Tamandua tetradactyla: one gene and its partners. The protein of the gene in region 2 interacts with the protein of the main gene of each other region in a pairwise test. Links are inferred from orthologs where the notes say so. Each region holds a gene or a part of one and is shown on either strand. Other genes may lie near its edges.

The links.
Region 1: the proteins of CALCOCO1 (region 2) and DUSP13B interact in binary tests that used the Homo sapiens proteins (3 or more experiments, as listed by UniProt). The two-hybrid records come from large-scale screens. The link is inferred for Tamandua tetradactyla from reciprocal best matches to the Homo sapiens genes CALCOCO1 and DUSP13B.
Region 3: the proteins of CALCOCO1 (region 2) and CWF19L2 interact in binary tests that used the Homo sapiens proteins (3 or more experiments, as listed by UniProt). The two-hybrid records come from large-scale screens. The link is inferred for Tamandua tetradactyla from reciprocal best matches to the Homo sapiens genes CALCOCO1 and CWF19L2.
Region 4: the proteins of CALCOCO1 (region 2) and CEP19 interact in binary tests that used the Homo sapiens proteins (3 or more experiments, as listed by UniProt). The two-hybrid records come from large-scale screens. The link is inferred for Tamandua tetradactyla from reciprocal best matches to the Homo sapiens genes CALCOCO1 and CEP19.

What each region holds. Positions count from the first base shown.
Region 1 is NC_135339.1:21,488,094-21,494,937, reverse strand, and holds the start of DUSP13B (dual specificity protein phosphatase 13B), read right to left. Parts: upstream 3,010-6,844; 5' UTR 2,865-3,009; coding exon 2,512-2,864; exon of another isoform or gene 2,476-2,511; intron 1,950-2,475; exon of another isoform or gene 1,891-1,949; coding exon of another isoform or gene 1,835-1,890; intron 1,721-1,834; exon of another isoform or gene 1,659-1,720; coding exon 1,485-1,658; intron 1-1,484. UniProt on the Homo sapiens protein: Dual specificity phosphatase that dephosphorylates MAPK8/JNK and MAPK14/p38, but not MAPK1/ERK2, in vitro. Exhibits intrinsic phosphatase activity towards both phospho-seryl/threonyl and -tyrosyl residues, with similar specific activities in vitro.
Region 2 is NC_135333.1:115,162,590-115,169,825, forward strand, and holds the start of CALCOCO1 (calcium-binding and coiled-coil domain-containing protein 1), read right to left. Parts: upstream 3,006-7,236; 5' UTR 2,902-3,005; intron 721-2,901; 5' UTR 708-720; coding exon 552-707; intron 222-551; coding exon 119-221; intron 1-118. UniProt on the Homo sapiens protein: Functions as a coactivator for aryl hydrocarbon and nuclear receptors (NR). Recruited to promoters through its contact with the N-terminal basic helix-loop-helix-Per-Arnt-Sim (PAS) domain of transcription factors or coactivators, such as NCOA2.
Region 3 is NC_135334.1:34,509,622-34,516,705, reverse strand, and holds the start of CWF19L2 (CWF19-like protein 2), read right to left. Parts: upstream 3,010-7,084; 5' UTR 2,955-3,009; coding exon 2,862-2,954; intron 1-2,861.
Region 4 is NC_135336.1:16,998,505-17,005,485, reverse strand, and holds the start of CEP19 (centrosomal protein of 19 kDa), read right to left. Parts: upstream 3,010-6,981; 5' UTR 2,707-3,009; exon of another isoform or gene 2,694-2,706; intron 2,097-2,693; exon of another isoform or gene 2,001-2,096; intron 1-2,000. UniProt on the Homo sapiens protein: Required for ciliation. Recruits the RABL2B GTPase to the ciliary base to initiate ciliation.

The sequences.
Region 1 (6,844 bases), on a different chromosome or scaffold from region 2:
GGATTAGAGAGGTGGGGTAGCTCTCACCCAGTCACCCCCTGGCCGGATTGGAATTTTCTTCCTTCCTCTGCATCTCCCTGCAAGGGTGGAGACTAGAACCAGTGAATTGACCTGGGGTGAAGTAGCTTTCATAGATGGAGTTTAAAGAGTCCCTTTCCCTCAGGCCAACTTTCAGGGAGGGAAGTTTGGCTGCATTCATCAAAAGCCTTAAAAATGTACATATACTTTGCCACAGCAGTTCTCCTTCTAGGAACTTAATTAAAGAATCCAAAATGTGCTCACGGACATATGTACGCTGAACCTAGTGATATTTAAATGGTGAAAAACTGAATGAAAAAAACCCCTAAATATCCTGTAACAGGAGATTAAGTATGGCATATCTAAATGATGAAATACTATGCAACTACTAATAGATGGAGATAAAGAAGCAAAGATGTTCATGCTATATTGGAAGCTTGTGAAAAACGCAGTTTACAAAACAGTGTATATAGGGAAATTCAATTTTTGTTGAAAATGTTCTAAAACGTGTGATTCTAGTTAAAAATCTTTCTATATAAAGCACACTATAAAACAGCATTATGACATAATACCAATTTTTTTAAAAATAATTGTAAAAAAGCATGCATGTGTATATGCATTTAAAAAAATTTACAAGGATTTTATTATTGGTTGTCTCTGTGTGTGTGTGCTTGGGGATAAAATACTGATCAATATTTTCTAAATTTTGAGAATATCTTCAAAAACCCATATATATCAATGCATATTTTTCTAATTTTTAGAGATAGTGACAATTCTGCTCTCTCTTTATATACACTCTGAACAAGCTTGTGTGCGCTCCCAGGACCCATGGGGTAGAGTGTGCCGAGCATCACTATTCTCAATAGCCCAAAAGTGGAAACAACTCAAAGGTACAATTGCAATAGGATGAATAAACTATGGTGTGTTCAAACGATGAAGTATTATACAGCAATGAAAAATGAACAAATACAGCAACACATAATAGTATGGGTAAATCTCACAATTTTGAGCAAATGATGCCAGGCACAAAACACTCACAGTCTTATTCCATTCATAAAACTTTAGGCAAAACTAGCTACATTGTTGAGGTACATAGATGATAAAACTATAAAGGAAAGCAAGGAAATGATTATTTCAACAGTCTGGATAATGGTCATCTACAGGGAGAAGGAATAGGATTTGGATACGATGCATTCAGCAGGCGCTTCTGCACAAGTTAGAAATATTTCTTGACCTGGGCAGTGAAACTGTACACGTATGCTCTGGGCACTTTTCTTATGTGTGTGTTATATTTCACAATTAAAAGTAATAATAATAAGGAAAGAAAAATGTGGACAGAGATGGTGAGAGGTAAAGAAGGGCCATCTCTGTCCCCACGACACCTGACGGCTCTGTAGAGGCCCAGTCCCCCACCCCCATGTGAGACCTTGCACCCCCCCACCCCCAGTGTCATGGACCTTACTTACGCGTCGCCCAGGAAGAGGTTGGGCCAGACCTCGTTGATGTGGGTCAGTGGGATGGCCCGGCGGGACCATAGCAGCCTCTGCAGCGAAGAAAGTGTGGGTGGCTGGTAGGGGGTCAATCGGACTCTCCCATGGATCTTGGGCCTCCGGAGGTCCTGTTTCTGCAACGAGTCCATCCTGGGACAGAGCACACACTGCGGTGGACAGATGCGGGGCAGTGCCCTGGTGCCACTGGGATGCTGGGGGAAGGGACTGAGCTGCTTTAAATGAAGCTAGTATCTAGTGGGGGCTGAAGCCTGGAACCATTCAAGAGAATCCCTTGTCGCCACCTTAGAGCTGGGCAGATATCTCACCTGCCCTTTGCTGAGGCATTTGACGTCAGAGGCTTTGGCCAAGGGGCCCCCAGCATTCCTGTCTGCAGCACTGGTTCAGGCAGACATCAGCCCTTAAGACGCTGGTCACTCGGGACTTTGTAGGGATGGACAGCACAGGTGGCTGCGGCCCTGAGAGGGCTCCGAGAAGGCCCACCCACCCCCCACCCCAAGGCAGCTCATCTCAAGCCCCTACCCCCCTACCACAGGCTGTCCTCAGGTTCCCATCCCCTTCCAGTTTCAGATGCATGGAGAGCAAGTCCCATCTGGGGTTGGAGTAGGGTTGTGAACCAACATTTGTTAGCATTTCCACACTGAATAATCTGAAGCCTCCTATATGTCTGGTGCCTCACAAACACTAACCCATTTATTTACTCTCTCCCCCATGTATGAGGTAGATACTGCAGTCCTTGTTTTCCACAGGAGGAAACTGAAGCACACAGAAAATTTTTTTAAGTGCCACCCAATGCCCTCTGGCTAATAAGTAGGGAAGCTGGGGTTTAAATCCAGTCTGTGCTATTCCAAATACATCCCCAGTTCTTTCAGTCACCATCTTTGGGGACCCCAGGGAAGGGCCGCTAGCTGGTCTGTCTGTGCAGGGAAGCCTGGCATTGAGGACTTACACATCTGCCTGGAAGCCCAGGGATTTTCCTCCTTACCCCCAGGACTCAGGCCAGCGCTGCAGGGCAGGCCTCACCCCGGCGGGGTGGGCTGTGTCAGGAGTCAGCTGGCTGAGGGAATCCGGCGCCCTGCACAGCTGGGGGGTCAGTGGCACCAGGACCTGAGTCTGGCGCCGTGATGGGAAGGAGTGCCCATCTTGGCTAACAATCTCTGGTCCCTTTAGCCAATAGCTAGGGACGGTGTAAACAGGGAGGAACGGTTTTTCTTTCTGGTAGGAGGTGCCTGGAGCAGGAAGAGAAACGGGCACCCAGGAGGCCACGGGCTTGGCCAAGCTCACCCAGCGGGCAGCAGGGGGACAGGGTGGGAGTGAAGACCCGGCCTTCCCCCTCATCCCTCACTGTGACCTCTCAGGGTGGGCTGGGTGGCCTGCCACCTACCTAGAGCATGGTCAGGGGTTGGGAGTGGGGGAGTGGGAGCAGGGGCAGGACTCTGCGTGTGAACGGAATGGGGCCAGGGCAGGTTCTACCCAGAACACACATGCTGTGAAGTGGCTAGAATTCCAGATCCTCCCCTTGGAGCCCAGGGGGGTGGGGCCTCAGAACAGAACCAGCCTATTGTGGACTGAGGCAGCGGTTGTCCCAAAACACCCAGACCCTCTCTCAGCTTGGCATATCTTTGGGATTGAAGACTCTTGGCCCCATAAACACCCCCATTCCCCCAATGAAGATGGGAGGCGACCTCAAGTGGTAGAAACAGAGTCCCAAGAGCCTGCCTCAGGCTGGGACTCTGCCACGACCCATTCTGTGACCAGAAGCAAATCTTGGCTCTTCTCTGGGCCAGTTTCCCTTTCTCAGGCTAAAGATTGTGGCCTTGCTTGACCAGGGTTAACTGAGGGTCTGACCTGAGGATGAGAGGAGTGGCTGGGTATGCAATGATGAGTATGTGTGTGTCGGGGTTGGAAAAGTCCCCGGACTCGAGGGAAGTCCAGTTTCCACACTGGTCTGAAGCCAGCAGCAGGGGCTGCAAGAGCCCCAGGCTGGGCTGGATGGAACTTCCAGAAGCCTGGCAGGTGGGGCTCTGGCCCGCGGAGCCTGGCGTGGGGTAACACTGCCTCCCAGTGGCCGGTGGAGGCTTCGCAGCCCAATCTCCAGACACAGCAGAGAGAAAGCTGGACCCCAGACCTCCTGGGGGCTCCAGGGAAGAGCCAGCTGAGGGGTCAGGAATCCGGGGTTGCTAGGCCACAACCCATGCCTCAGCTTCCTAGGAGCCGTAGGCCCACTTTTGGAGAATGGGGGCTTCTCCCTGGCCTTTTCCCTTTGTCAGGTCCTGTCTAGGGCCTCTCTCCCAAACCTCATAGCTATACCCACGCCTGTCTGCTCTGTCCCGGGGGGGATCCAGGATTGCCAGCCCAGTGACTTCTTTCCAGAAGCTCCAAGCTCAGACAAGGAAGGAGAGTCGGGGGGCTACAGGAGGCTTCCCTTGTTTCTGCCACCCCAGACCTGACTGCTGAGGGTCCTGCCAGACAGCGCCTTCCACATCTCCTCTGCCAAGCAGGGCGAAGCAGGGGCCCAGCATCCAGCAGGGACAGGCCCCGCCCCTGGCTCCCCTCTCCAAACACTCTAGTCCTTGTTCGGTGCCGGGGGCTCCAGGTCACCTTCTCCCTGCTGCTCCCACCGACGCTGAGCGGCTGCCTCTGTGGGCTGTGGTTTTCCCGTTCTCTTGTGTGGCTGCTGTTTACAAGTTCACACACTTGTTTTCTGTCTTTGTATCCCTCCTCCTCTCTCTGTTGCTCTCCCGTTTGTCTCTGCCTCGCTGCCCCCTCACAGGAAGCCCCTGCTCCTCCGCAGGGTCCCAGGAGAGCCCCCTGCATGCCCGTGGCCCCAGGCGGAGCACAGGCTCCCTCAGGGCAGGGGCAGCGGTTTGCCGTCCACCTCCTCAGCTGCTGCTCTAGACACATGTTCTCCCTCTGCCCCCTCCTCCCAGGGGGGCCAGCTAGGGCTGCACGTCTCAGGGTAGGCCCAGCAAGGAGTCTGGTGAAGGAAGCCTTGGGGATGGAGGTAAGGGGGTACCAGGGGTGAGCAGCTGGGGTTCTCACGCGTGGAGTGCAGAAGTGGGCAGGTAGTGGGCAGGTCTGGGTAGAATTCCCAGGTCAATGACTTGGTATATGTGTGCGGACTTCTCTGAGCCCCTCAGTGGGGCTGCTGTGAGAATTCCATGGGATAGTAAATGTGAAGTGCTCACCACAGTGGCTGCCTCATGGTGCCTCTTACTGGGATTACCAGTACTGTTGTTACTGCTATTCTTTTAAGCCTCAGCCATATCCAGGGCAGAGGGTTCCTTCAGAGACTTGAGTTCTTTCTTTTTGTGTCTCTGGATGATTCTTTCTCAGTACAGCAATAATTACTCACCACTTACTAGGATGTACTACATACTAGGCACAGAGCCAGGTACTGACATTTTCTCATTGAATCCTCACAGTATCCTTAGGACATTGGTAATATTTTCATCCCCATTTTATAGATGAGGAAACTGAGGCTCAAAGAGGTTAAGCGATATGCCCAAGGTTACACAGCCAAATTGTGTGGGAGCCAGGATTCAAACCCAGATCCCTGTGTTTTGCTTTGCCTTTACCTCTGACCCAGTTGGTCCCTGTTCTAGCTAGTAAAAGCTGCCCGAATGAGATATACTAAAACTGGAACGACTTTTTAAAAAGTGGAATTCAGTAAGTTACAAGTTGAGAGTTCTAAGGCCATGAAATGTCCAAATTAAGGCAAGGCTATAAAAATGTCCAACTTAAGGCATCCAACAGAAGTTACCTTGGTTCAAGAAGGCCAGTGATGTTCAGAGTTTCTCTCTCAGCTGGAAGGGCACATGCCAATGTCTGCCAGCTTTCTCTCCAGGCTTCTTCGGAGGCCTCCCCAGGGCTCTGTCTGTCCTGTTGGCTCTGTCGGTTCTGTTGGCTCTAAAGCGTTTTCCAAAACGGTTCCCTCTTAAAGGGCTCTAATAAGCAACCCCACCTTGAATGGGTGGCGACACACCTCCATGGAAATCATCCAATCAAACAAAAGTTACCACTCACAATTGGGTGGGTCACATCTCCATGGAAACAATGAAAAAGATTCCACCCAGCAATACTTAATGAGGATTAAAGGACATGGCTTCTCTGGAGTACATAATAGTCTCAAACCAGCACAGACCCCCAGCCCTCTCCACACTTCCCCAGTCCTCTACCCAACAAAGGCACTGGTGCCCTGACCCCTCATTACCCGGCATGCTCTGTGCCGCCACCCTGAAATAGGGGCATTCACCCACCTGAGGGGTTATCTTGCCCAAGCTGTGGTCTCCAATGGGCAATTTGTGCCATCGGCTTCCAGACGCCTGTCTCTACACACTTGATGCTGTTTCTATTTTTTGATTTGAGTTTAATTATAAAGCATGATGTACTGCTCCCCTCTTCCAACCTTCCCTTGCCACTCCCAACTCGCCCACTGATCCCATGGCTTGGCCAGTGCCAAGCCCAGCCAGGCATTCTGCCCTTTAGGCCTAGCCTAGGCCAGGCCACGCTGGGAGTAGACGCAGCATGGCACAGGGTGTGGCTGTGAGTTTGTGTGTACAATGTACGTTTATAGTGAGGCCAGGAGCAGGAAGATCCAGTGAACCATTTTAAGCATTCATGTGGCCTTCAGGGGTGGTGAGGAGTAAGGGGAGAAGGGTTAAGGCTGGAAGGGTCTTCTGTGGAGGAGGCTACTGGCTGGACATAAGCACAGCGAATTGGTGGATTGTCACGAGCAGGGCTCAGATTTGCAGGCCCTTAGTGGGGGATCTAGAAGACTTGGCTGAGGGAAGCAGCACAAGCAAACAAACAGAAAATGGTATCAGCGGGTTACGGAGCAATCTTTAGATCTTGGCACAGAGGCTGGAGGCCCAGCCTTGAACTGAAGTCAGAAACCATATGTCCAGGAGCCACTCCACTTTTTGCCAAGCTGCTTCCTTCCTCCAAAACAGAATCGAGTGTTCCTCGCCCAAGGCCCCACTGTCCCTTGAGGCCACTGAGATGGTTCCCAAGGTCCTTCCCAAGGCTAACCGGTCAGTTAGGGACCTTGGATTTGGGCTTCTTAATAACCCTCCCTGACTACCCAGAGACCTGCTTCACATACACCATTCCTCCATGCACCTCCCCACTTGCACACAATGGGCATACACAAAGACATGACACCTACACTGGGGTCTCTGAAGTTTGAACTCAAGTCAAGGTCCCAGGCCCCCCTGGGGCTCCTGGAGCCCAGGAGAGACCTCAGAGAGGCAGTTTGCGGCCAGGGGCCATCATGAGCACTTAGAATCCCCTCCCTCTCTGCTCCTTGGCCAGGAGGA
Region 2 (7,236 bases):
TTTGCATTTATTTTCCCTTGTTGCCTGTGCCTGACTTTTATGTTTCTGAGCTTAACGCATTCTTCCAAATGTCTATCCCCTTTCCTCCTCCCTCCTGGTTTTCCATCTTCCCGTGTACCTTGGAACTGGACACTGGCGTGGATAGGGGAACCATCAATTGTGCTTTCTGGCACTGAAGACCACACAAATGTGTGGTAATCCCGAACACAGGCAGCCTCCACCTGTGAAAGCCCAAGATGGGAGAAGGGTACAGTGATAGCACTACCACCTATGCATGGTAGAGAGGCTGAGGGATTGGACGAAGGATAGGACAATGTTACAGGGCAAGGAGGATGAGAGACAGGGCAAGTGGAGGGACACTAATATGTCAGGGGAGAACAAAGCTAAGATTGGGAGGAGACTAGCTTAGCTTATACAGATGGCCCTTGTCATCTGTAGTATCTTTCTCCCTTTTCCTCAATATGCAGTTGAGAGTCCAAGAACCTAGTCATTCCCCTTATTCCAGCAACCCATGGCCCCTAAGCTGGATCCAAAAGGGGTTCCAGGGATACCTTGAAGATGCCAATCCAGTCACTGGCACTGGGCACAGTGCCTGGGGGAAGAGTGTAGTGACATTCCACCTTGGTGTTGGGGATGTAGGTCCGGGCTACATTCAGAAAGTTGACTCCACCCCGGGATGGTGCCCGGCTTAGGGATGATTCTTCCATCGTGCCTGCCTTCCTGTGAAAGAAAGGGTTAATATCCTAGAGTCTCCATTTTCTCAGAACCATGCCTCCACACCTAGAGATGAAGACAAATGGTTTCCAGCCCCTTTTAGGATTATAGGACCCTTTAGAGGTACACTCTTAGTCCCTAGGATGTAGGTCTGGCCTTCTAAGTCAGTACCCACACTGTCTTACATTGCGCCCTCTCTGGCTCATAGACTTTTTCCAGAGTTCAGATCTCTCTAATTTTGGCTCCCTTTTTTGTCACCCCATTGACCAGGTATCAGTACCCCAGGCTCTTTTCAGACCCTCTTTTTCACCTCTTACCTGCCTTAAGCTTTCAGAATTCTCCATCCTCCATCTCCCATCCCATCCCCCACACCTTCTGGCTCTTGAATTAAAAATCCAACAAAAGTGTGGTGCCCCCTCACTCTGAGCAGGTCTACTTACTCACTCCTGAGGTTGTTAACCTAGCTGCACCTAGGAATGACTTACGACACCTGAAAACAGCAACTAAACTCTGAAAGGAATGACTGAGTCTTCAGAGCTGGATTATGGTTAGGAGGGCACCAACACCCGAATCCTCAGACCTCTGGGCTCTCAGTTCTCTTCCCCATTTTGAGCTGTCTACCCCCATGAATTCTGGGGTAGCAAAAAGCCTCTGTTCTCATCCAAGAGACAAAGGGAAAGGGAGGATATAAAGAAAGACAGGTTTCATTCTTTCACTTCATCACTCCAGGAAGTCAAGAATTCTGGAGGCGGCTGCTTAAGGGCGACACACTCAGCTGGAACATGGTGGTGTGGGGGAGATGGAACGTGGGTGTCAGGAGACAGGAAAGGAAAGTACCACCCCTGGGCAGGGAACGTAGAAGTAGGGGAGCCAGAAAAGGGGAATGCATATTTAATACTGAGGGGTGGAAGAGAGAGTTTTAAAAAACCCTACCTTGCTTCTCTCCAGATCTTGTCTGGAACAGGACTAGGAACCTACCGGTTTGACCAGGTGTTAACCCAGCTCTAGTACGTCCCTCCTCCTTTTCTCTCTGTTCCTCTAGCCCCAGTTCTAAGTGCCTGAATCCTTCCATCTGTTTGGATTGGTAGTTGTAAATATGCTTTAGGATGGTATTGAGAGGAAAGTTGTTCCAATTTAGTTGGGGAGAGCTGATGGGGAAAATATGGGGATAGAGTGAGGACAGATAATAATAACAATAACAATCAAGAGAATTTAGCTCAGAGCAGTGAGGCGGCCCCCTTTTTCATCCTTCCCCTCCAGCCCACTAATCTGCATTCTGCACCAGCCACAGTTGATAGCGTCCAGTGAGCCATCGCCAATAATTATGGGCACGCCCCCAAACATAAAAAAAAAAAAAAATCCAAAACACCAGGCTGAAGTCAGGGTGGCAGGGACTTTAAAAGAAAACAGAAACTCAGTGGAGAAGGAAAGGTGTGCTAACTCGACAAGAAGGAGTGACCTCTTCCCAACTAGAGACTGAATCAAAGACAAGGAGTTCTTTGGATTTTCATGTCTCTGAAAAATCCCTAGTTAAAACTAGCTCAAGTTTTTCCAAATATAATTCTTTTGGCTTTTTAAAGGGGGTTGAGTTATTCTCAAATATCTAAGCCTGGGGAATCCCAAATACTCCCCACAAATAAAATCGGTAATAGCTGCCCCAGGCCTAAGAGAAAGCTCTGTACACCAAAGCCGTTTGCGTGCAGCCAGATTCAGGGGGTTACATGGGGCGGGAGAGTAAAGCCCACTCCGTAGGGCTCTAGAGTTCTTTGACATTCTACAACTTGGAAGGTTTTTTTTCAGGCACTCAGCGTAGTCAAGGCCTTTGGATTTGGTGGAGTTGGTGGTAGTGGTGGGGCGTTCGTGAGGGGAAGTTTGTGGGGGCTACGTCTCGCCTGGGAGAGAATGCGCAAAGATTTCAGCCTTCCACTCCCCTAAGCGCATCAAGCTTATAGAGAAGGACTGAAAGGAAGGTGAGGACAGGACAGCGAGGGACACCTTTTACTAAAGGCCCCCTTGAAACCAAGAACTCCCAGAAGAGTGTGGGTGGCCTCACAGAAAGTGTTAAAACCCAAACGCCCCTGTATCCCCCCTTCCTACAATTCCCTTAGATTATCCTTTCGCAACATGGAAAGAGGGGTGACCCCCTCCCCACATAAAACAGTCCCCAAATTAGGCCAAGTTTCTTACCCCACAGACGGATCAGCTGTTCCCTCACCTTTCACCAACAACAAAAACAGCACTCCGACTCCGGGAGGGGAGGGAGAAGAGTGGGCACGAGGGCTTCTGGGGCTTGTGGTTCTTTCGCACTGTACACCGGAGTACTGCTCGGGTCTGGGACTACACATCCCAGGAAGCTGCGCGCAATGAGGGCGGAGAAGGGGCGGCCGCGTCTGTGGCCTCCTCACGGCATCCTGGGAGGCGGAGTTTCACTTCCTTGACAGAAAACGAGGGTGTGGCCACCAAAGGACTCCACTTCCCATGATGCCGTAGGAGGGGGCCCGCTGCGGTAGTGTGGGTGCTGGTTCGCAGCGTGCATTGTTGGCGGTATGGAGCATTTATAGCTATAACTTCTTTGTAAATCTTTAGGTTTGATAGAACGCTTTTTGATACCTCCTCCCATTCAGTTTTCACAAGAACCCTGAGAGATATGCATTGTTGCTTTCCAGATGTTATAGATAAGGAAACTAGAACTCAGAAATTTTAAGAAACCGGTCTCTGTTTGCTAGACTCTAAATCCAGTACTCTTTCCACCACACCACAGCTACCCACCAACTCAGACGATGGGAAACGAATAGCTGTGGTACCCGTTTCTTTTTTGCTTCAACTCCAGGGACCCCTTGTAAAAACTATATGAAAATGGTCAGCACTAACCATTTTCTTCCAACTTGAGGATTTTAGAGGCAAGAAGCCTATCAATATGCACAATTCCCCTAGAATGGCCTCTGGATCTCTGAAGAGGATGCAGTTCCTGGAGTGTTGGTGGTGGGGGCGGTGAACAGAGGGAAATAAAGTTGAAAGGGGAGCCTGGCATAACTCAGGACACATCAAGACTCACAAGCTACTTATATGGTACTGTTTACCCAAGCCTTTTAACTGGCTTAAATTATTTAGGATAACAATAGATGCTGTTGCTCCGGTTTTTGTTTAGGAGAAGTGAAAGAGATTCACACTCTCCCAACCCCTGGAGTCAAGTTAAAGACTTGGGAATCCTATCTATTCCCCACCCCCAACCCCCTCCCCGCCTCATTCAAAATTATTTTTCTGCAAACCCTGTATTAAGGGATTACAGGATTAATTTGCTTTTCTTAGGTGCCTGCTTTTAATTCTTTGTTGCACTAAGTCATGAAGCCTTCTGGCTTTTCAGAGTTTTGGGTGGTATTTTGCTTTTATGACTGTGAATGGGATGTCTGGTGCCTGCCCTTGGGTGTCTTTCATCTGAAGATCTCCAAGCATTTGACAATAAGTCACTGGTCTGCACAAACATTAAGGTGACGGGTCTGTGTTATTAGTCAAGATTTATGAGTTAGGGAACAAGTTGCTGGATCAGGAAATGGCTCGAGGTCCTGGGGTGGATTAAGAGTGGGGCCTGTTCAAGGACCCAATTCTCAAGTGATCTTGGTTTTTGTGTTCTACCCAGCATAAAGACCTATAAGAAAACTCAATCTCAGCTGGAGCTAAAAATAATAGCAATTTTTTATTGGGTGCTTAAAATGTGTTAAACCACACTAAGAGCTTTTTACCTTTAATACTCACAGCAACCTCTGTATAGGACTCCCTATTACTATCCACAGTTTGCATATGATGAGATTGAGGCATAATTAAATGATTTGCCTGGGGTCATCCATCCAGTAAATGGTAGAATCAAGATTCAAGCACAAATAGCTAGTATACCATACTCCCACCGGCTATTGGTATTTTAACTCCTATTGTTTTAAGGAAGAGTGCTGTTAGTCAATCAGGGAGTAAATGTTCACTGAGCATGTATGTGCAAGGCACAAGGTAATGTGAAATGTTCATTCAACAAATACATGTGTCAGATATGCAAAATGTATTCAATAAATTTTGTTGAAAAAATGAATGTAAAATATAGATATTTGAAGGCTGGGTTAGATTTAGATGGTTTAGTAGGACAGGGACTGGCAGAACTAAACTCATTCCAGACTGAAGCAAAAGTCTGTCGATGAGAATGTATAATGCTTGCAAGAGACTAGGGAGTCACATAAGAACAGGAAATAAATTTTAACTTTTTTTTTGTAGACCCAGATTATTCGTAATGGCTGCCTGAAGCGTCGTGTTAAGAAGGATTCTGAGGAAAGAGTGCTATAATTAATTAGTATTGTTTCCCATGTACTCCAGATAGAAGATGGGAGTTTTGCATTAGATGGATTTATTGTTTAAAATTAAACTCTCTCCTTCCCTGCCCATTACCATGTGACTTGCAGTACCTCCTGTTGATGGACTCATGCCAGATTTGAGCATGTGAATTTCCACTTTATTGTTCTTCCTCTCTGCCACTAGAATGGGCATGTTCCCTTTTGCCTGGGTGTTTGAATGCGAAGACCTGTGGAGCAGAGCTGCAGCCTAACCATAGCCTATATATACATAAGACAGAAATAAACCTTTGTTGTTGTAAGCCACTGAGATTTTGGTAATTGGTTGTTACTGCAGCAAAGCTGACTAATATATCAGGCATGAGCCAGACCTGGATAATAGAAGATAAAGATATAAAAATAAGTTTAAGCCAGAGTATGGAGAATCTTGAATGCCAGGTAAGGCAGAGCCTGCTATGTGTTTATCAGAATGTGTTTCTTTTCTTTTTTTTATCACACTGTTTTAGTTTGTAAGCTGCCAGAATGCAATATACCAGAAATGGAATGGCTATATATTTTTCATATGCTATATGGCGGGGATCACATTTCATTCTTTTTGCACATGAGCATCCCATTATTGCTGCACCATTTGTTTAATTTATTGTTTTGTTTGTTTGCTTGTTTTTTGGGCAAGTGCATGGGCTAGGAATTGAACCTGGGTTTCCTGCATGGCTGACGAGAATTCTACCATTGAACTACCCTTGCACCTATGAAATGGCTTTTAAAAAAAGTTGCAAGTTTATAGTTCTAAACCTATAAAAATGCCCAAACTAAGGTGTCTAGATAGAAGTATTTTGGTTCAAGAAAGGCCGCTAGGTCAGGAACACCTCTATCAGATGGGAAGACAGGTGCCTGGCATTTGTGGGGTCTCTGGCTTCTCGTTTCAGATATCTTCTCCAGGGGCATTTTCTTTCTGCATCTCCAAAGGTCTCTGGCTTTGTGGGCTCTGTTGGCTCTAAAGTTTTTCCAAAATGGTTCCCTCTTAAAGGGCTCCAGTAAACAAACCCACCTTGAATGGGTGGAGACACATCTCCATGGAAACTATCTAATCACAAACCACCCATAATTGAGTGGGTCACATCTCCATGCAAACAATAAAAAAGATCTCACACAGCAATACTGAATGAGGATTAAAGAACTTGGTTTTTCAGGGGTACATAATAGGTTCAAAACAGCACATACACAGACCACATTTTTCATTTTCCCTTCAAGGGATGTGTTCCACTTCAGTCTCCTAAGAGAGATCCTTTATATTCTTTCCTTTCAGGCTTGATGCAAATGACCTTGAACCCAGTGACTTTGAAAATCGCATGTAAAAGATAATGGAACCACAGGATGGAAAGAGCCTGGTTCTCTGAACCACTACTTGGCGGAGAGCTGCCTACTAATCAGGATGTGTTTTTGGACTTCATTTGACCAGTAAATCATTTCTATTTTGTTATGTCACCAAAATATTGGGCTTTAACTTTTATAGTAGTTAGTGTTTTCTTAACCAATTCATGAGAAGCTAGTCACTGAAGATTTTTCAAACAAGTGGAATAATACTGTGAAGACAGATGGAAGTAACAGCTACAGGAATCAAAGCATACTTCTGGGTGAGGTTGTAAGGACTTAGAACTTTTGGCGTTTTCATAAAACAGTTCAACTCCTGACTTGAGGCAGGGGGATGGGTGACATGATCTTTGGACGACTCTCTAGAGGCTGTGGAAGAAGCTGCTAAAAAATGAATCTTATTTTCCTGAAGTTTTAAGTTTCTTTTTTCTTCTGTAAAAATCTTAACTCCAGATTAGCCCAGTGCCTGGCACCTAATACATGTTGAATGGAAGCTGCTTCTGGACTCTGGGAATGCTTAGAGGAGCCACTACAAGTTTGGTGTCTATTATATGAGAGGTGCTCTCTCGACCACTGAATCTTAAAACCATCATGCAAGATGCTATCCAGATTTTACGGATGAAGAAACTGAGTCTTTAAGAATAACTTGCCCAAGGCCAAATAACTTGCCAAATCTTGCTCTGAAACTCATACCTTTTCCTCTATAATAAGATACTTTCTCAGAAAATAATAATAGCTAGTATTAAAAAAAAATAGCTGTGTGCCGACATTCCACCGGGTGCTTTACAAACATGGAGAAGCAGCTCTTACCAGATACTGT
Region 3 (7,084 bases), on a different chromosome or scaffold from region 2:
ACTATCTGAATCTAACAAGGATTCATTGTTTCTTTTCCAGCCAAACCTGTAAGCAAGATGTTAAAACATATGATGCCATAGGCTTAAGCAATTTGAAGCAATATACTCTTTCTTTTTCATAAAACCCTCCCAGATTTTCCTTCTACAGTACTTTAAAGCTCACAGAATTTATGGTACTTATTACAAATGCTAATGCTTCATACAGAAGCCATTAAAAACAAATATCTTTAACATTCATTTTTTAAAAACAGCTTCAAAACTTCTCCAATGAATATTACAAGACTGATAAAAACAGTGTCTTATTTCAGATACTGGCAACCACATGAAAAGAAAATCAAAAAGGAAAAAATACATACAGAACACATACGGAAGATATAGGTCTCAGTCACACAATATTCAGAGTAGATGGGAATGTGAAATATTTAAACCAAGGTGGGAATAATTTTTGCTTGTTTGTTTGTTTTTTCTGGGGAAGTTATTAGAAAATAAATAAATAATCAAAATACCCAGAAGTGGGCAAATCAATCAGTAGCATAATATTAGGTCCTAAGAGTGACATTAGTGCCATCTTAAAATATTATTGAAAAGTTTGATTACATACCATGATGTCAAAAGTATGCACAAATACTTTATACACTGATGACAATCAAGTAAACTGGTATATCCTCTATGGTGAGTAACCTTGTCATAATTCTCAAAATTACAAAAGCATATATCCACTTCTAGGGATGTATCCAACAGATATATGTGTGTGTGTATATATAATAATATATATATATATGCAAATGATAACATGTAAATAAGCATATATAAGGTTATTCATTGTAACAATGTAATAATGAAAGATTATCCAAAAAAATACTAACATAGTACAAGTGATATTACACGAATTACTACAGACATTATTCATTAAAGTCCTCTGTAATAAAAATTATAAATAAATGTAATTCAGTGCAAACTGATTAGATAAATTATGATACATAATTACAGTGGAATATTATGCAGCTTAAAAAAAGAAACAACGCTCTCTCTCTCTCTCTCTCTTAGAGATAGTCAAGGGAAAAAAACAATGCTGGAATATGACTGCTAAAATATATTCAAACCCATTTAATGTCCAACAGAGCAAAGGAAGAATAGCCTTTGGGGATATATTCTCTACAGTCAATAATTAATATATCTTCCCTGCTTTCTAAAAGCAAATATCTAAGTTTACAAAGTCTCAGCTATAACCAATAGGAAATAGTCAAACAAAGTTGCATTGCCCTAATCATATGATCATCTAAACAGGCTTCTTAGAAAATTCTGTAGTTTGATATTAAAAGGACAGGGTCACTTTATGCTTTATTTCCAAGTTTTGGATATTTCTTAACACATCAGAAGGTGAACTGGAAGTTTTCTTCTTGTAGCATTTGTGAGTGTCATTTTATTCCACACCAATAAAAGTAAGGAAGCTCAAACAGAAAGACCACTTATATGAAAATGCATTACAATAAGAAAACACTTAATGAGCCTCCAACATGAACGGCAATGCTGCAAACAGATGTCAGTTCTCAAAGTTATCTTAGTTTGTACACAAATAAATGATTTTCATAATTTCTATTCAACAATCTAATGTTTTTGGTTGCTGTTCTCTACCGAGAGAATCTTATTAGAACTGCTTTGCTACTACTGATCCTCCCATAAATTAATCTTTCTTCCTTACCTGAGTTATATTCAACAAGCTGGCCCGAAATCTCAAAAAAAAAACAAAAACAAATTTTAAATACCAACGAGTAAATTATTTCACAAGAGCACTAAATAAAAGAAAATAAAGCTCAGTTTGCAGATAAGTCTTAAATAGAGGATTTAAAAAATGTTTACAAACCCTACTCCATCTAAACAGTGCTTGAAACACAGTGACAAGACTAATACCCTACTCTTACTCTTAAGATATGGCTGTAGTCATTATCCTCTCTTTTAACTCTTCTTCTTTACTCGCTCCTTCTCATCTGCATTTCAACTCGCTTAAACCTCTCGTCTTATATCAAACCAAAATAAAACCCTCACTTGTACCCTATGTAGTTCTCCAACTACAATTTTTCCTCTGCATTGTCAAACTTCTGATATCGTGAATAGCTTGCCAGATGGCACAGTGTAGTTTACTTCCTCTATTCTTTCGTAGTAACATAATGCGTATTTCAAGCTTTCTTTTTTTTTTTTTCTTTAACATGGGCAGGCACCGGGAATCGAACCCGGGTCCTCGAGCATGGCAGGCAAGCATTCCTACCTGCTGAGCCACCGTGGCCCACCCTGTATTTCAATCTTAATGAGAACTACAATGTTTCTCAACCTTTTTCGAAAATCTAAATTGTCTGGGCTTCCTTTGTCAATCCTTGTTTATATAAGTAAGGGCTTACAATAAGCTTGGAATTTATATCAATAGTAAAACAGTAGATTAAAGCAGTCAAATACAGTCTACCCCAATGCGCCTTGCATATGTTCCTCAAAATGAAAAAATTTCATTTCGAATACATCAGCAGCGAAGACTGAGGCTGGGAAGCCCGTTGGCAGAAGAGTCGTTGCAACTGGCGGCGTCCCTTCAAAGTAAGCAACCTAGGTGATAGAAAAGTCAAGAAGGAGTGATTTTAAGAGGTAAGGAAACTCTGAGGAAGTACAGATCACCCTGCAAAGAGAACCGGCAACTGGATCGCCAGAATATCTAGTATGCAAGCGATACCCAAGAGTTTGGAGACATCCCAAAGGGAGACCTCGCTCAAATAAGGTGTGGAACTGAAGGCAGAGGACGAGGGGGCTGAACGGCTAGCTCCCTCCAGTCCCACAATTCTAGAAGGCTCCAAAATACCCATAACGGGGGTAGATACCTGGCGCAACACTTCGGCCCTGGCAATCCGAGTCTGTTCTTTACGCTCTTCAATACGCCTCTCACTCTCAAATCTACCACTGGCGGCCGCCATAGTTGTTATCGACGTAAAGCTAGGGAACCGTCAGGAAATCCCAGTTTACGACAGTCGTAAATTAGTAAACAAGCGGGAGCTCCGACGAGGGGGAGGAAGGGCGCGGCTCCACCTACAGAGCATGCGCAGATCTGAGTTTCGCTTAAGGATCCAGTGATTACTCCAGCTCCAGGTTTTAGTGGAGAATTGAAGACTGCGGGAGGTTTACACTTCTGAGTGTGTTAGTGTCGCTCTGAGCAGAATTAATGTTAATATAAATTTGTTCTGCGCTTTGTACTGTACTAACGGCTTTCTAGCCTATTTCCTCTTGAATTCACTGGGGTAAGACGAGTAAGACAGAAACTCATAGAAGTTAAATCAGTGCTTCTCAAAAATTTCCACCAAACTACGCTTCTCACGAGTTTCCGGCTGCTGGGAGAAAAGAATGTGGTGTCTGGCTAGTCTATCGAAGAAAGAACTGCACCGGACAGTGCGGAACAGGCACTTCATTACTAGCTACCACGGTAGGAGAAAGAGAGTAGAGCTCGATTCTGAGGAAGGCATGAGATTGGTTGAATTTTATATTTAGGGCAAGGGCAGTGAAAAAGTTCCAGTAAGCCCTTGGCGAAAAAGGGGAGGGTAAGGAGAATGAAGTTGATAACATGGAGTAGCTACTATCTGAAATTGTCTTTCCGCTCCCACCCCCCACTTTTTTCCTCCTGCAGTCTTGAGTTATTTTTTTTCTGCAGTCCCACAAGTGCAAGACCAGTTTCAGTTCTGGGGAGGAAGCAGGTATTGGGGCAGGAGAGGCAAGGCCAGTAGCTTGGTCAAGAGAGAAATCGTCTCGGTCAAGTCATAGCTTCGTGGATTATAACATTTTTTCCATATGGATATCCGAAACTCTCAAAAACCCTTGTCAATTCGTTTCACTATTTCCACACTGATTTGAAATGGTGCTTTTAGCATATACTAAATTCCCACGTTTTTATGGGGTTGTTTCTGGAGTTTGTCCAATTGATAATTATTCCTGCAGCCATAGCACCCTATTTTAATTACTGTCGTTTATAGTATGGCTGTTGGAGAAATCATCATTCTTTTCCAAGGTATTCTTGGCTGTTCTTACATATTTTCTCCTCAATATGAGCATTAAAATCAGATTACCAATATCATTTTAAATCCTTAGATATTTTAATTGGTTTTATCTGTTGAAATTCTTTGATTACAAGCAATTGGAATGAAATTTGACAAATTTAAGCAAAGAAAGGAATTTATTAGTAGAATATCAGTAAGTTCATGCCATAAGGAAAAAGCCATAACTAAACTTAAAGGCAGGAAAGTTATCAGAACTGTAAACGTTCAACAATCAGAGCGCTGCCACCAAAACGAATGGGGGCAGGCTGCACCAACCACCCTGCACCAAAAATCAGTTGGAATCCAGAAGCTCTGAGAAATCCTAGGACTCCATGCCCCCTCTGCAACCACGGAGTAGTGTCAGCGCGCACCTTTCTACATCAGATAGCCTCTTGGAATAGAATGGAACTGGGTGAGATGTGTACTTACCTCAGGGTAATCAACTTTTTAAAAAATACCCATTTGAATACAGAAAATACATATTATGTATGTCTAGTGTCCTTTTAATGTTCCAGGATACCACATACACCTAGTTATTACGTCTCCTTAGATGCTTCTTGGTTGTGACAGTTTCACAGACTTTGTTTTTTGATGACCTTGACAGTTTTCAGTAGTACTGGTCAAGTATTTGGTAGAATGCCCCTCAATTGGGACTTTTCAAGTATTTTACTCATGATTAGACTGGGGCAATGGTTTTTTAGAAGGACCACATAAAGTGTCATTTAATCACATCATATCAAGGATGCGTACTATCAACATGATTATCACTAAGATTGTTAGCCTGGATAAGGCAGTGTTTGTCAGGTTTTTCCACTGCAAAATTATTCTTTTTCTCCCCTTTATATACTGTACTCTTTGGAAGGAAGTCACTTTGTGCAGCCCACACATAAGGAGAAGGGGTTTATGTTCCACCTCCTTGAAGGTGGGGTAGCTACATAAATTATTTAGAATTCTTCTGCCTATGTGCAAACACAGGTTAGGATACATGCATGGCTTTCCTTACTCTGGCAGTTGAGAGAACCTAGAAACAAAGGTAGTTCAATAGTAACAAGCACACTTAGTGCCAAGATCTTGGAGATTTGTCTCTCATCCCCCATTTATTTATATATTTAATAATTTATTCATGTTGTTATGGATTCATGGATTTTATTTTATACATTCCATTATAATCCAATACCACCTTATTTTGTTGCCTATATTGTTCTACCTTTTGCCATTGGGAGCTCTTTCACTTGACTCCTGTGTCCCTTTAATATGACCCCATTTTTGTGAGTTTGTTGTTTGTCTTTCCTGAGAACTTCCTTACTTTCTAGCACTACCGATCCTCCAGGCTCATCTTAAATACTTTTTGCTCCCGTCTCAGAGTCAGGTATTACTCCGAGAAGCTCTGGTTCCTCATATTGAAGAATGGTATTAAAAGCCAAGATGTGTGCACTAGGTGTGGTAATTGCTACTGGACTGCGTTGTTTCTAGGTCCTATCAACTGACAGAGCAAGAACAGATATGTGTATATACTAACATGTATGTACACATATCTATAAATATTTCTATATGTAACAATCTGTATCCATTTCAACTGCAATCCATTATCACAGTGATTGATACTAGCATCCTCCCTTGCTTATCTGTAACCTCCCACAGTAACAGTGAGGAGCCTGACTCCCATCATCTGCCATCACCCATTTACTTAATCGTTCAGTGCCAGTTCAGTTGTATAGTAGTGCCAGAATTGTTAACCCATGGCCCTGTGGAAAACTTTATCAGCTAGGAGACAGTGCTTATATACAGTTTCTTACACTAGTATTTCAATCTACCCAATTTATTCTATCCCTTATCCCCGCTATTATTTACTTTTTATCCATATATTTCTACTCATCTGTCCATACCCTGGATAAAAGGAGCATCAGACACAAAGTTTTCACAATCACACGGTCACATTATAAAAGTTATGTCATTATAACTCATCTTCAAGAATCAAGGCTACTGGAACACTGTTGAGTACTTTCCTCTAACCATTCCAATAGACCATAAACTAAAAAGGAATATCTGTTTAATGCATAAGAATAGCCCCCAGGATAACCTCTCGACTCTGTTTGAAATTTCTCAGCCACTGAAATTTTATTTTGTCTCATTTCTCTCTTTTCTCTTTTGGTCAAAAAGGCTTCTCAAATTTTTAGTTAATTTTAATTTTTAATCGTATGTTATTTTACTTCTTTAAATACAGGGTAAACTTTCGCACTTGTTTTTTATTATATTGCTGTCTTTGTGTGAAATAGTAAAAGCAGTTATACCTTAAATAGATGACTCTGAAGTGTTATTTTCTAAGAAACAGTGTGATTTGTGGACTTCCAAGTAAAAGCAGGGTGATATTTTAATTTTGCCTCAGTTATCTTGTTCTGGAGACTTTTCAGTCTTCCTCTGATTCATCAGAGAAGACTATCAAGGAAAATTACAGATTTGTGACTTTATGGAAATAAAATTCCAAAGTGCCTACTCTTTTCTCCTAATTGTACAAGGCACTGAATGATTGGACTTAGACAATCCCCAGTTTATTTATTCAACAAACATTTAACAAACATAGAATGTTTCAGGTACAATATAACAGCTGAGTCTATAAAGGTGAAAGGCAGAATCCTTACCTCAAAAGTTAGAGTCTAATATAGGAGGCAAACAAGTAAACCTTATGGTTTTCTCTGTTAGAGCCACCATTTGCCTTGAAATTCATTCAACAAACATTTATGATAGGCACTATTTTAGGCACCCAAACAGAAATAGACTAAAATCCCTGCCCTAATAGAGCTAATTTTCTTGTGGAGGGAAACAAACCACAAATGAATGAATAAATCCTTGTAAAAGGATACGATCCAGATGTAAAAGGGAATTAGGAAGAGATATGTATCTTACTATGGTGAATACCAGGATGAATTTTTTATGTAGTAGAATCCTGGATTTGATTGCTTCCTCATAGTATCATTTAACCTATCTGTAACTCTTATGTTGCCAATAAATTAGTTAGATCT
Region 4 (6,981 bases), on a different chromosome or scaffold from region 2:
CCTGTTTACTTCAATATATTAATATATGACACTGCCCCTGTACAGCCTCTAAATGTTTATAGTCTAGAAATCTGATTAAAAAGGTCAATGTGGTGCAGAATCAATTGGCCTCTACATATAGTAGACAATAATTTTCACCTGGCTTTCATTTCAGCTTATTTGTCTCACTATATAATATTGTTTTCAATACCAAGAAACGGTACTTTTCGGATTAGTACTTCCAATCCCAACCCCAATACCAAAATACACTTAATTACAGGGACTGCTTTAGATGAGACCAAGATAATCTTTGGAAAATTTGTAAATATCAAGAAACCTTGATGTAAAATGATATATGATGATGACATCCTCATAAACTCAGTTCTGTTAGAGAATCACTATAGGAACATGGTTTAAAAAAATTACTTAAATAACAGAAATACATATTCATGTTAGAAAACTGGGGAAAAAAGGAAACAAAAATAATCATCCATAATTCCTTCCAGTCTTTTTTCTAGGTATATAATTTTAGTTTTTTAAGCTACAGTATATTTTTTATGTTATACATACTATTTCCTCCCTTTTAAATTTAACAACGTATGTGATTACTTTCTTGTTAAATGTTTTACTAAATTGTGATTTTTAATATGACTGCCAAGTGTTTTGTCCTATGGATGTACCATAATCTATTTTATTCACCCTTTATTGTTGGGCATGGGAAATTTTACTCTTAGGAAATGAACAATATTTAAAGAACTGCTTTTTTCTAATTATTGTGCTTTGCTCCTGACCTAATGATCCTATCTAATCCCCCTTTTTTGTTCTTTACAAATACAACTCCCAACTCACTTCACTAAATTTAGTCTGTAAGTCTTCCAGATCCTGCTGAGCACAATATAAACTCCAAACACTTAAGCAAATGGTTCAACTCATGAATGGTAATGTGCCAATTGATACGCTAATAAAATAGTGTTGACTACAGATACTTTTTTTTTTTTGCATGAGCAGACACTGGGAAACAAACCTGGGTCTCCCGCATGGCAGATGAGAATTCTGCCTGCTCAGTCACCATGGCCCGCTCTCTATTCTTTTAAATATAACTTTTATCTTTACTAAAGTAATATTTGTATGTTGCTTAAAAAATAAAATAATTCTAGGAGGTTATCATGGTTAGGGACATGTATCACCTTGGCCAAGTTGTAGTACCTGTTTATCTGATTGGGCAAGTGCTGGCCTGTCTGTTGTAATGAGGACATTTCATAGGATTAGGTCATGAGCGCCTCAGCTGCATCCACAGCTGATTCCATTTGTAATCAGCCAAAGGGGAGTGTCTTCTACAATTAGTGATGCTAAATCTAATCACAGAAGCCTTTAAAGGAGGATTCAGAGGAGACAGGCCCCATTCCTGCTTTGGCTGGTGAGCCTCTCCTGTGGAGTTCATCCAGACCCTCCATCGGAGTCCTTGGCTTCACAGCCTGCCCTGTGGATTTTGGACTCTGCGTTCCTGCGGTCACGTGAGACACTTTTATAAATTTTATATTTGCAAGTGTTCCCTGTTGATTCTGTTTCTCTAGAGAACCCTAACTAATACAGAGGTTTATAACAAAAAACTACTGCCCCTTGTTCTACCCCCTCTTATAGGCAACCAGTCGCAAGTCTTTTAGGTGTTTCTTCCAAAAATGTATCACCATATTTCTTAATAAAATACTGCTATTTTCAGTTTTAGATGTTATCTTTTTTTGCTGTTTTTTTGTATGCTGTATGGTAGGGTCACATTTCATTATTTTTCCATGTGAGTATCCCATTATTGCAGCATCATTTGTTGAATTTTTATTTGTTCGGTTTTGTTTTGCCTATTTGTTATTTGCAAAGTGCTTGGACCAAGAATCGAACCCAGGTCTCTTGCCTGGAAGGAGAGAATTCTACCCTTGCACTCCCTTGCTTTGTTTTTTAAATGTAATTTTACTGAGCCCTATTCGCACAGCAGACAATCCATCCAAAGTATACAATCAATGACTCACAGTAGACATTATCTTTTGATACACACTCTTCCTCTTTGAAGCATCCGTCTTGGAGCCCTTTGTTCTGCTCCAATCTACACTAGATGCTCTCTAGGCCTGCGGACAGAATCAATTTAATTCATGAAGAATAGTTTTTACTTTATTCTTCCTGGATATTAATGTTTTTTTTCTCTCCCGAAGGCTCGGCCTGCCATAATCTTGCTAAAGATCCCCTACGGCACCTAGAAAAGTATGGATTTAAAAAAAAATTTTTAATTGACAAAAATCTTCACACACATACAGTCCATACATAGTGCATAACCAATGGCTCACTGTATCATCACATAGTTGTGTATTCATCACCATAATCATTTTAGAATATTTGCATCACTCCAAAAAAATTAAAAAAAAATGCATACATCCCATATTCCTTACCCTCCCTCTCACTGAACCCTAGTATTTCAATGTACCCAATTTTATTTTACTCCTTACTCCTCTATTATTTATTTATTTTTTATCTATATACTTTTTACTCATCGGTCCATACCCTGCGTAAAAGGAGCATAAAAGTATGTATTTTGCCACACCAATGGCACCCCTCTGAGGGTGAATTATCCTCTCTCTACGCAAGACTTTCATTTTCCATAGGCTCCACTAGCACAAGGTTGACTATCTTACTCTTAGAAAAGTACAGAAAGTGCATCTTATACAGACCAACATCTACAACCTCCGTGCCGAGACGTTTCCATCCAACTGCAGCGCACGCAAAGAGCCCTTATCCCCACACTGCGGCCAGGAAGAAGCCAGCGCTGCAGGAAGAAGAGACAGTCATGGCCCGCAGCAGGGGACGTGGGTGAACTTCCGGCACGAGGCCTGAATCCATAAATGCGTGGAAGTGGAGGGTGAGAGCCCAAGCGCGCTGAGCTTGCTCCTAGGCCTACCCGCCGGGTTCAAACTCCACCTGGGCGCCCACAGAACGTGGTTTCCACAGCAACAGCCCTGGGTGCACGTCACGGCGCTTGCGCCACTCTCGCCCCGCCCCAGAGAGGAACGGTGAGAGGCGGGGCCGAGGGGGCAACGAAGGAGGGGCCAGGTGACGGGCCTCACGGGGCTCCGGAACCTTCGGGGGCTGGGGCTGTGAGAAGGGGGGCGAAAACCGCGGGACTGCAGTTGTACTTGCACCGAACCCTCCGTCCCGATCACTAACTCCGTGGCATCGTGCTCTAAGGAGCGGCGTTAGGCGTGTGCAGGTTCCTTCCTCCATCCTCTTTTCGTCCCTGCGCGCCCCACGGGCACACGCCCTCCGGCGTTCTGGCTGCTCGGGCAGTGGCTGCCCGGGCCGTGGCCTGGCTGCTGCTCTGGGCTGCAGCTGGGATCACCCGCGCTCCTGCCTGGGCCTTGACCGCCGCCTTCTCCGACGCTGGTAATGAGAGGGGCGGGGCTGCGGGAGTGCGGGCGGAGTTTGAGGGCCGTGGCCGGGGACAGGCAGTCGCGACTCCGGGGGTCCTCTCCGCCCCTTGACTAGCAAAGATGTATAGTGTATCCCGGCGTGTGATCTCAGAACTCCGGGGTGAGCTGAAGGAGATTAAAAAAAAAAAGGGCCCCTACCTTCCTCGTCTTATGGCTTTGTCCGCTCCTGAGTCTCTGGAGAGCCGGGCTTTGTCATTCCGAGGCGAGGGTGACGGCACTGTTCTAATCCAGAAAAAAGGTGTTTCCGTGAAGTGCCTTCGGATGTGTAAAGCTCCTGACCACCAAGGGGTCAGCAAGATCTCAACGCTCTGTGAGTTGCGAGCAGCCCAATCCAGAATGCAGAGACTCTAGGGAAACGACTAATTTAGTTTTACAAACATCTTTTTTAAGGGTTTCTTTATGATTCCTGGGTGAGCAACGAGTTGGTTCACTTTTTTGATTCCGTGTCAGTGGCCCGAAGTGCTTGTTAGGTGCTGTGGATGAAGCCCTGAGCCAGCCAGACACGGCCTAACATTGTGCAGTTTGCAATGTGATAGGGGAGATTGACATGTGCAGTAATAATTGCAGCTAAGTGATCCTGTTTGCCAGAGGAAGGAAAGTCAGCGCAAACCAGGTGCGTTCTCTATCCTTAAAGTAAGGCTGTTAGACTAGTGTCTGTCAAACAGTGCAGCTCTCCTTTGTGTGTTTTACATACTAGGTTCCAAATTTATTTGAGGAAAGGATTATAAGGCCAAAAGCATTCTCAGACATCTGAACTTGGTTATCTCTAAAGACTCTTACTGCACTGACATTTTATGATTAAAAAGGGGTCAATTTTCAGAGCCAGTTCAGATTATCACATCCGAATAAAGTAATATTTAAGGAGAAAAAACCCTGAAGGTGAATTCGGTTGTAACAGACTCATTTGGAAAATGGTGCTTTTGTCTTAAGAATGATAAATAGCATTTGCTATACTGTTTGCAAATTAGCGTCTCCACCATCCCGTGGTGAATGTGATTTACTGCTTTCTAGTGTGCATCCCAATAGAATTTAAGCGTACTTATCTGACTTTTTTCTAAAATAATTTATAGGGAGACAATAAGCCTTTACTCCCCACCAACCCCCATTAAAATAAAGCATTATGAAGACAAATCTGAATTTGTAAAAGAGACATATAGGTTATTTCATTTGGGAGCGTTTATATGCTTCTCAAAAGCAAATAAGCATTCCTTTAAATAAATATTAAGTAAAGGAGAGAAATCTTAGACTTTAAAAATAAGCAGCAAATATCCTAAGTGGAGTGGAAGAGAGAGCAAAGTTGATGGTGGAATTATACAGAGAAGGTAGGGTTTAACAAATGAGTATGATTACTGAATCATTATATTGATATTTTAGTTTAGAGCAGCTAGAAGTAGAAACCTAAAATTGTGGAATTGTAACCCATACCAAACTCTGAAATCTATACTAAAACTAGTTGTTGCAGTGTGCTTTGAAATTTTTTATTTATTTATTTATTTTTATTAATTAAAAAAATTACAAGAAACACAAACATTCTCAACACATACACTCAGCAGTTCACAATATCACATAGTTGCATATTCATCACCATTATCATTTCCCAGAACATCAGCATCAATTCAGAAAAAGAAATAAAAAAACAACAGAAAAATATAACAAACAGAAAAAAAAAATTTATAGGCCATATCCTTTACTGATCCCTTTCATTGATCACTAGCATTTCAAACTAAATCTATTTTAACATTTGTTCCCCCTATTATTCATTTTTATTCTGTATGTTCCTCTCATCTGTTGACAAGGTAGAAAAAAGGAGCATCAGACACAAGGTTTTCACAATCACACAGTCACATTGTGAAAGCTATGTCATTATGTAATCATCATCAAGAAACATGGCTACTGGAACACAGCTCTACATTTTCAGGCAGTTCCCTCCAGCCTCTCCATTACATCTTGGATAACAAGGTGGTTTCTACTTAATGCATAAGAATAACCTCCAGGATAACCTCTTGACTCTGTTTGGAATCTCTCAGCCATTGACACTTGTCTCATTTCACTCTTCCCCTCCTTGGTGGAGAAGGTTTTCTCAATCTCCCGATGTTGGGTCTCAGCCTATGTGCTTTGAAATTTATTGCTTTTTTTGTTTATATGTTATTTTTCACAAAAAAGAAAAAAAATAAGTTAGGCAAACCTTATTTCTAATCACTTGGTTATGTAACTGAGCCAGTTACCAGCTCTTTAGTTTCCTCTTGTGTACTAATGGCAGTAGTTTTGTCTGCCTGTTTGTGAAAGATAAAAGAAATGAGTGATAGCCTGAAGTATAGGGTTTGCATATATTTATAAATATTTTTTCCTGTTGTTTTTTTCTTCCTTGCTTTGTATATTTTGAATATTTTCATGTCCGCTTCATTTTTTTTTTCATAAACCTTCTCAGGAATACTTCTCATGGTTCAGCAACATACAGTAATAGCCTGTGGTTTTCTGTGTTTTGAGTTTTAATATTCTTTGTGTACACCTCCAACTTTTGAAATTGAGATAAAGCTCCATGGAACAGTGCCTGCCAGTGTTAGCAAAAGTGCAGTTCAATAGTAACTGAATTTTTGGTTTTATGATGCTGACATTCATTAGTAGTTTTAATATCTGATTTCTGCATGGAGTCAGTATAGCCTAAAACAAGATATCTCATTAATCTAAGTTTATAAAGGAATGCTTTGAATTTTTAAGTGCCTCCAGTTACTTTTTGTTTTGTTTTTAATATTTCCAACAGCCATACAGGGCATAAATGTACCATCTTTCTTGTTTTATAGATTTGGGTGGCAGAAGACACACGTTACTAGTATGTGTCTGGTATGCAATTTCAGTGAGCTAGAATTAAAACTATTTCCTGGCTTTTTAGTTATTCTGTTCCTTTCGGTGTCCTAGGATAAGGTAATATTAATAGCAAACACCTGTATAGAGAACTTATTATGTGATAATAATACTGCCCTGCAGTAAGTGCTACTCCATATATTAATTCTCATGATTACTAGCAGAATAAAAATATCTTGCCCAAATTCACAGCTATTAAGTCACAGACCTGGATTTGAAACTAGGCAATCTAACTCCAGAATCGGTGTTCTTAACCACTATCCTATACTGAAAAGAGATTTATGTGCTCAGATTGTTTAAAGTTTTTGTTTTGTTTTTAGGATGATTAGATTTTCCAAGCAAGTAAAACTTATTAAACAATTATTTTATGATTATTTAAATATTATTTCATGAGTGTTTATTTTTAAAAATCTTTTGGTTCTTTTAGGCCTGAAAGCCGCTTGTTCTGAAATTAGTTTGAGGCAAGAAGTTTTGAAGGATGGTTTTCACAGGTAAGTTCTCCATTGATTTCTACTTATGTTAAACTATGGTTTCATGTAATTTAGAGCAAAAAATTGATAGTTGAAGCATGGATAAACTGAAAAATCACTTGATTTCTTTTTTTTTTAAATTTTTTATTAATTCAAAAAAGTTACAGGAAAGAAACACAAACATTCTTAGTATATGTTCA